2 linked regions of the Cricetulus griseus genome follow. The protein of the gene in region 2 interacts with the protein of the main gene of each other region in a biochemical or structural test. Links are inferred from orthologs where the notes say so. Each region holds a gene or a part of one and is shown on either strand. Other genes may lie near its edges. The genes, in order: DNA-binding death effector domain-containing protein 2 and Cflar.

Evidence for each region.
Region 1: the proteins of Cflar (region 2) and DNA-binding death effector domain-containing protein 2 form a complex in vitro, tested with the Homo sapiens proteins (2 studies listed by BioGRID). The link is inferred for Cricetulus griseus from reciprocal best matches to the Homo sapiens genes CFLAR and DEDD2.

Annotation. Positions count from the first base shown.
Region 1 is NC_048602.1:9,965,391-9,969,859, reverse strand, and holds the start of DNA-binding death effector domain-containing protein 2, read left to right. Parts: upstream 1-1,595; 5' UTR 1,596-1,752; intron 1,753-2,400; 5' UTR 2,401-2,439; coding exon 2,440-2,767; intron 2,768-3,854; coding exon 3,855-3,971; intron 3,972-4,469. UniProt on the Homo sapiens protein: May play a critical role in death receptor-induced apoptosis and may target CASP8 and CASP10 to the nucleus. May regulate degradation of intermediate filaments during apoptosis.
Region 2 is NC_048595.1:413,040,139-413,043,959, reverse strand, and holds part of Cflar (CASP8 and FADD-like apoptosis regulator), read right to left. Parts: intron 3,783-3,821; exon of another isoform or gene 3,573-3,782; intron 3,557-3,572; exon of another isoform or gene 3,354-3,556; intron 3,245-3,353; coding exon 3,139-3,244; intron 1,712-3,138; coding exon 1,576-1,711; intron 608-1,575; coding exon 522-607; intron 1-521. UniProt on the Homo sapiens protein: Apoptosis regulator protein which may function as a crucial link between cell survival and cell death pathways in mammalian cells. Acts as an inhibitor of TNFRSF6 mediated apoptosis.

The sequences.
Region 1 (4,469 bases), on a different chromosome or scaffold from region 2:
CAGACTAAAATCACGATCCAGTGAGCACACACACACACAGACCGAGGAACACACACAGACTTAAATCACGATCGAGTGACACACACAGGCACACACACACACACACCCAGACTTAAATCACGATCCAGTGAGCACACACACACACACACACAGACACACACACACACACAGACTTAAATCACGATCCAGTGAGCACACACACACACACACACACACACACAGACTTAAATCACGATCCAGTGAGCACACACACACACACACACACACACACAGACTTAAGTCACGATCGAGTGCACACACACACACACACACACACACACACACACACACACACACACACACGAGACTTAAATCACGATCCAGTGAGCACACACACACACACACACACACACAGCCTTAAATCACGATCCAGTGAGCACACACACACACACACACACACACACAGACTTAAATCACGATCCAGTGAGCACACACAGACACACAGACACACACACACGAGCTTAAATCACGATCCAGTGAGCACACACACAGACACACACACACACACACACACACACACGAGACTTAAATCACGATCCAGTGAGCACACACACACACAGACACACACACACACACACACAGACTTAAATCACGATCCAGTGAGCACACACACACACACACACACACACACACACACAGACTTAAATCACGATCCAGTGAGCACACACACAGACACACACACACACACACACACACGAGACTTAAATCACGATCCAGTGAGCACACACACACACACACACACACACACACACACACACACACAGAGACTTAAATCACGATCCAGTGAGCACACACACAGACACACACACACACACACAGACACACACACACACACACACACACACACGAGACTTAAATCACGATCCAGTGAGCACACACACACACAGAGGGACACACACACACACACACACACACACACACACACACGAGACTTAAATCACGATCCAGTGAGCAAACACACACACACACACACACAGCCTTAAATCACGATCCAGTGAGCACACACACACACACACACACACACACGAGACTTAAATCACGATCCAGTGAGCACACACACAGACACACACACACACACACAGACACACACACACACACACACACACACACTTAAATCACGATCCAGTGAGCACACACACACACAGAGGGACACACACACACACACACACACACACGAGACTTAAATCACGATCCAGTGAGCAAACACACACACACAGCCTTAAATCACGATCCAGTGAGCACACACACACACAGACACACACACACATACACACACACACGAGACTTAAATCACGATCCAGTGAGCGCACACACACACACACACACACACACACACACACACACACACACACACACACACACGAGACTTCAATCACGATCCAGCGAGTGCCAGAAGCGGCGACGCTCAGCCGCGGCGGCGCAAGCGCGAGCGCGGCGGCCCGGGCGAGCCCGGGGAAGGCAGGCGGGCGTGGGGAGGGGCGGGGACACGCTTCGGTTGGGGGCGGATCCCGCGGCCTGGAGGGGGTGGAGCTTGGAGGCCTCACTCTGCGCTTGCGCCGTAGGGGCGCGGCGCTCGCACCTGCTCGCGTTGGGCGAAGTCGGGGGGAGGAGCGAGGTGACGCAGGCGTAATAATAGAGAAGGTGCCAGAAAAAGAGCCAAAACAAGTGGCCGCCGCCGTGCGTCGCCGGGGAGTCGCTGGACGCCGGGATCTGGTGAGGATCCAGAGGGGCCCGAGGGCGACTGGTGGCGGCGGGCGGATGGGGACACTTGCCGGGGTGCCGGGGTGAGCGCAGGGCCGGCCTGCCGGCCTTGCGGGGCGAGCGGCGGGGTGCGAGCGGGACCCCCTGTGTGGCGTTCGGGGCTGGCTCTGCGGGGGTCCCTTGCAGAGGCTCGGGGTCCGGAGGGGGGGCGCGGATGAGCCGCACCGCGGGGGTGACCCGGGGCGAGCGTTGGGGCTGCCTGGAGGGAACCGGTGGACAGAGCCTCGGGCCCCGCCTGCACGTTCGCCTCCCAGAGTCACCGGGCCGGGGACAAGGTGCCCTGGCCCGGGCCACCGGGCTCGTTGGGGCCGATGGATCTGTGGGTGGCGAGTTCGGAGCCCACCCACCGCGAGAGGGGGCGCGTCCGGGCTGCGCTGGCCCGGCTGGCTGCTCGGTGGACCGAGCGTCTCGACCTGTTACTTGGGGACCTCGGGTGGCACCATTCCCGTCCCCGGGAGGGGGAGGCTCAGGCCGTCGAGGGTGTGGGGTCACCCTGCCCGGTGTGTGTGTTGGGGGGGTGGGGACACACGCTGGCCCGTGTGCGCGCTGGGGACCACCGCGTCGCTGACCACGACATCCTCCCCGCTGTGTGGGTTCCAGGCCCTGGTTCTGAGCTTGTTCCGCACCCCTCCCCTGGGAATGGCGTTGTCCGGGTCGACCCCGGCCCCGAGCTGGGAGGAGGATGAGTGTTTGGATTACTACGGCATGCTATCGCTTCACCGTGTGTTCGAGGTGGTGGGCGGGCAGCTGACCGAGTGTGAACTGGAGCTCCTGGCCTTCCTGCTGGATGAGGCTCCCGGCGCCCCCGGAGGCCTGGCCCGCGCCCGCAGCGGCCTGGAGCTGCTTCTGGAGCTGGAACGACGCGGCCAGTGCGACGAGAGCGACCTGCGGCTGCTGAGCCAACTCCTGCGCGTGCTGGCCCGACAGGACCTGCTGCCACATCTGGCCCGCAAGCGGCGCCGGCCGGGTAAGGTTTGCATGGGAGCGTGCACGACTTGTTAGGAGCGCCTTGCTCCTAACTGGGGCCTGCGGTGCGCTGACCCCCCAAAAAGGGAGAGGGGCACCACTTGGGTTAGGAGTGTCAGTGATGATTGTGGCCACTGTGTGTGGGACTTTGTGTGCCGGGCCGAGGTTAAACCTTTCATATAAACTGTCACCTTTTAGCCTCCTCACCGTACAGGGAAAACAGCAGGCTCAGAGAAGTTATCTTACTGCACGCAAGAACCGCATCCTTTCTGTGTTGGCTACGAAGAAAATAAGGCCAAGATGCCCGTTCCGTGAGGCTTGCATTAGTAGAGGGAGTCAGTTAATAATAATAAATAAGGAACTTAGCTTTAGATAGTCATAGATTGAGTGAGATGGATACAAAACAAGGGGGGGTGGCCCTACACTGGGTAACGATGGAGGAATATTCTTCCAAGGTGATGACATTTAAAACAGGGGTGGGGATGGAAGTATGCCACACGTATAATATTTGTAGCAAGTGAGGGGCCTAGCTAGGATTCAGACCTTCCTGGGCTGTGTCCAGGGTTGGAACAGAAAGGGAAGAGCTGGGAGGGGTCAGGTATAGGAGGCCTGTGTATGGGTAGGCTCTTGGGCTCTTTCTCGAGAGATACAGTGTGTCGTTCGGGAGGGGGGGAGGGGGATTATGAGCTTTCCTGTCCCATAATGAGCCTGTGGGATTTGCTTAAACAGAAGGGAGGGTGCCTCTAGAGATAGGCTGTCTTGATTTTGGAAAAATATGTCTGAGTGTTGGGCTCTAGAACAGAAGCAGAAAGGCCTACTTGTATTTAGGGGCTCCAGACTGAGCCAGGAGCAGGTGGGGACAGAGGCCATTGCAGGGACCTGGGCTACTAAAAGAAAAGGCCTGGCAGCTGGAGCTGTTGACATGGTTGGTCAGCCCCATGAGCACTGTCCTGGGAGGCCTCAGCAATGTCGGGGTAGGAGGCGCTTGAGGATGCGTGGGTGTTTAGGCGTCACCTCCGAGGACTGGGGTTGGGCGTTCTTCCTGGAGGTTTCCAGCTGTGGCTACTTCTTCCATTCTCTCTCCCCAGTGTCCCCCGAGCGCTACAGTAATGGCAGTGCCGCCTCTTCTTCCAAAAGCGCAGAGGGCAGCTGCCGGCGTCGGCGACAGCCAAGCAGTTCTTCTCAGCAGAGTCAGTGGGACACGGGTGAGTCCACCGGGTGGGTAGGGTGACAGTGTCCCTGTCTTCTTCCCGAACTGGCATCCTGGCCCATCAAGGAAACGGCCTGAAGGGTCATTCTGACTGTTTTGCGGTGTGTCTGCGTTTGTTGTCGCTTATAGGAAGAAGCGTGTGCCCTGAAGTGGTATCACGTGGACCCATGTGACCTGGCAGCCTTGGCTGGGATTTATTTTATGGTGAATGCCTTTAATTAGTTCAATTACTGTATTCCAGTTAGAGTAAACAATCCCCTAATTTTTAATTATGTGAAATTTCAAACATCCAGAGAAGTTAAGATAGTATAGAGAATATCTTTGCTTGGATTCAGAAATCACTAACATTCTGTTGCTTGTGCTGTGTGTGTGTGTGTGTGTTTAGAAAGTTGTGAAGTTTTTGGTTTTTTGGAGACAGGGTTTCTCTGTGTAGCTTTGAAGCCTATCCTGGCACTCGTTCTGGAGACCAGGCTGGCCTCGAACTCACAGAGAT
Region 2 (3,821 bases):
AAAATCTCTTTGGGGACATTTAAGTTTTTCTCTCTATAGGTACATACTATCTACTTTTATTTTAAAAGTGAATCTTCAAAGAAACAAAAAATGAAAAAAAAAGTCCAATATATAAATAGACACATTTACTAATGCACATAAGAGTGAGAGCAAAAGGAAGTATCCCAAAATATTAATAGTAGTAATACCTAGTAACAGACACATTATTTTAGAGACAGGGTTTCCCTGTGGCTTTGGAGGCTGTCCTGGAACCAGCTCTTGTAGACCAGGCTGGTCTCAAACTCACAGAGATCTGCCTGCCTCTGCCTCCCGAGTGTTGGGAATAAAGCCGTGCGCCATCACTACCCACCAGCTGAGCATTTTTTAAGGTTTATAATCATAAGAAGTTGCACACATTCTTAATAAAATACATGTCTACATAATTTGTTCAGCTTTTACAACACATGAAATGAGATGCACACTTTTATTACATCTCTGAAACCGGTTCATGCTAGCACTCCGCACACTGGCTCCAGACTCACCCTTGAACTATATGAAGGCTCCTTAATACTCAAGTTTGGAAGAGAAGCCTGGAAAGAGTTCATATAATTTGATCCTACTCCTTGGCCTGTAAAGACAGAGAGAGGGGCTAAGGTCCATAAATTGTCAAGTGAGTCTTCAACAATGCTTCAGTCCCAGTCGATCGTCATCTTTCAAAACACCTTAGACCTGAACCATCTGAGTTCAAAACATCATCAGCTCAGATGACTTCTGCCCATCAGCAAAAATGACTAACAGGATGGCTGAGCTGACTCAGTGGATAAAAGCACTCGCCACCAAGTCTGACAACTTAATTTCCTCCCACATGGTGGAAGGAAAGAAATGACTCACTCCCACATGGCATGTAGGCATGCATACATGTGTGTACATGGGCTCGCGCACACACACACACACACATACACACACACACACACACACACACACACACACACACACACACACAAATAATATATGAGCATGTTTGTAAATTAAAAAGAAAATTAAGGACTATTCCTATTTCTGATTGTCATTCAGAATTATAAGCAAGTTTCTGTCATGATCTTTACCCTGTGACCCTATGGTAATAGTGTAAGGGACAAGGCCAACCCACTTTATTAAAGAAAAAAACAAAAGTGACCTTTTCCATGAGGTTAAGTGAGACACAGACCACATGTGTAGGACAGCAATCAGACCCAGAGACACTGCCCATAGTTGGACGGTGGTCATCAGGTCCAACATGGAGCCGGATAACAGGGTTCAACCTACAATCCAAGTCATAAATGTTCACAGTCTCTCTCTCTACCCTTTAAAAACAGAGACACAGACTTCTTTAAAGGCCAGAATGTTAAGACCTGCTTGGTGGCAATTTTCAGAGGGAGGAGACTTGCCAATGGGGTTGGAATATTGGGATATGAAGGCTATAAAGGAATATAATTTCTTGACATAGGCTAGAGGGGGCTGGGATGCCTAGGTTCTATTTCGACCATGTATCAGCAAATGACTCCACCAACCATTCCTATTGTGCACTAAAGACCACTGAGAAGCCAAATTTCTTACCAGACTGCGTATACTTCTGAATTTTTGTCTTCAAGTCTATTCTGTGGATATTCTTCAGGCATTTTTCTAATAAATTCAATTGATCTGAAGCAATCAGATTCAGTTTCTCCAGTTCAATCACCAGATCCAAGAAACTCTAAAAGAGTCACCAACAAGAAACACACATGAGTGGAGCCAACAAGTCTCCAGTGCAAACTCCAGGCCATCTGCTCATAACAGCAGGAAAAGGTGACAAGATGAGACCTTCGGGTAACCCTTGGAGATCCCAATCCAGACAGTTCTGCCCAGAACAAATCACCCTCCTGAGTTTCACTCAAAGAGATGGGGGGCTACGGCTGTAGCTCAGGGGGTAGAGTCCTTGCCTAGCATGCATAGCTATTCCCTGGGCTTGATCCCCAACACCACACACCATAAGGGCGTCTCAGAATGTGTGGGTGTGTGGGGGGGTTAACTGAGGAAAATTTGATATGGGAAATCTTCATAATGCCATCTGAAAGTTCTTAAAGTGTTTTCATTGATGCTGGACATTCCAAATCATTCTGTCTCAAGAGAAGGCCACCAGAAAAGGTGGGGCTCTCCTACTCGTTCAACCCGAAACACCAGGATCATTAAAAAAAACTAGACTTCCAAAGTAAGCATTGCTTTGAATTTTATTTTGCTGATGGTTAACATTTGGTTACTTAACTGTTAATCATTAGTTCACAAAGACAATAAGCATAATTACATATAAATTGAAAAGTTGATTAGGGAAACCCCCCCCCCAAATAACTCCTGTTTTCCTTTTCTTCCTCATTCTATATTTGATGTGGGAACATGCTGTTCTCCTATATTCCTAAAATCAAGGAGCCTGAGAAAACTCTTAGAGGCAGGGTAGCCTCTTGGAAGACTTACTGTCACTCCCAAAGACAAAGATTTTTTTGGGCCCATCCTTTGGCTAACCATACCAGGAGTTCAAACACTCTTCCAGCAACCCCAATAACTCTAATATGGTCACCACATTTCTATCCTAATCTACACATTAGCCACTTCCCCACCTCCACAGGCCACTGAGAGAAATAAAACAGCAGTGGCCAGCAAATGAGAGTGGACCAGCAAGCCCTTCAGGTCTCCACTCCACTAAAGCAGATAGGAATCCTTCTCCCAGAGGAGAGTGTCAAATCAGAGAACTGGCATAGAAGCCAGACCTGTGACTGTTTTTAGAGACAGGGTTTCTCTGTGTAGCCCTGGCTGTCCTGGATGGCCTCGAAATCACAGAGATCCCCTGTCTCTGCCTCCGAGTGCTGGAATTAAAGGCATGTGCCACCACTGCCCTGACAGGCCTGTGACTTTTATAGAAGTCAGGACCAAATCTAAGCATAAAAGAAACACCCAAGGTCACAGGTACCAATCTATTTTCTTCTCAATTAAAAACTCATTCTCTTGCTTCCAGTGTTATAGAGAAACCATCTGAGATGCCTAGCTCCCGAAACCACGGCAGCAAGCTGCCCACTTCCCTCTCTCCACAAGGAGTAGGCCCTACTTCTCACAGCTCTTTGGAATGGGCATCTAGAAAAGACAACTTACCTTGTCCTTGGTTACCTTGCCTCGACCTGTGTAATCTCTTGTAAGGAAAATTAACGAGGAAACATCGGATTTATCCAGATTCTCACCAATCTCCATCATCAGCACTCTGTAAATCCCAAAAGTTTCTTTAGTAAACCCACACAAGAATCTAAGAGCCCATGCCTCATCAAGGCCAACATCTAGACTAATTCTTGTCCCATGGAGTGTGCCCTTACTCTATAAAGCAGGAAGCCTTGATAGTCCTCCAAGAGACTATTTAAAAAGTCAAAAAGAAAACTCATCCTCCTCCATTTGTTTGCTTGGTTTGGTTTTTTGAGACCCCTTGCGATGCAGCCCTGACTGTCTTAGCACTCACTGTGTAGACAGACTTGCCTCAGACCACTCACTACCTCCCATCTTCCTGTCTCTGCCTCCCAGGTGCTGGAATTACACACCTGCCCCACCACACCTGGCCTTTCCTTTGTTTGCAGTAGGACACACAGTACTTCCCTTTCTAACTAACAGCTCTGAAAACAACTGGGCGAGCAGACTTCCCTGAAAAAACCCCTAGGTCCCTAGAAGTAATAGTGAAATGAAACGAATTAGTAACAGGAAAGACAGAATTCAGAGTGGCCTTGTCCTCTCTGACAAGCTCCAGGTGACACTGGCCAAGAACTGTACTTCAAATCTCAGGATTCTAAAGC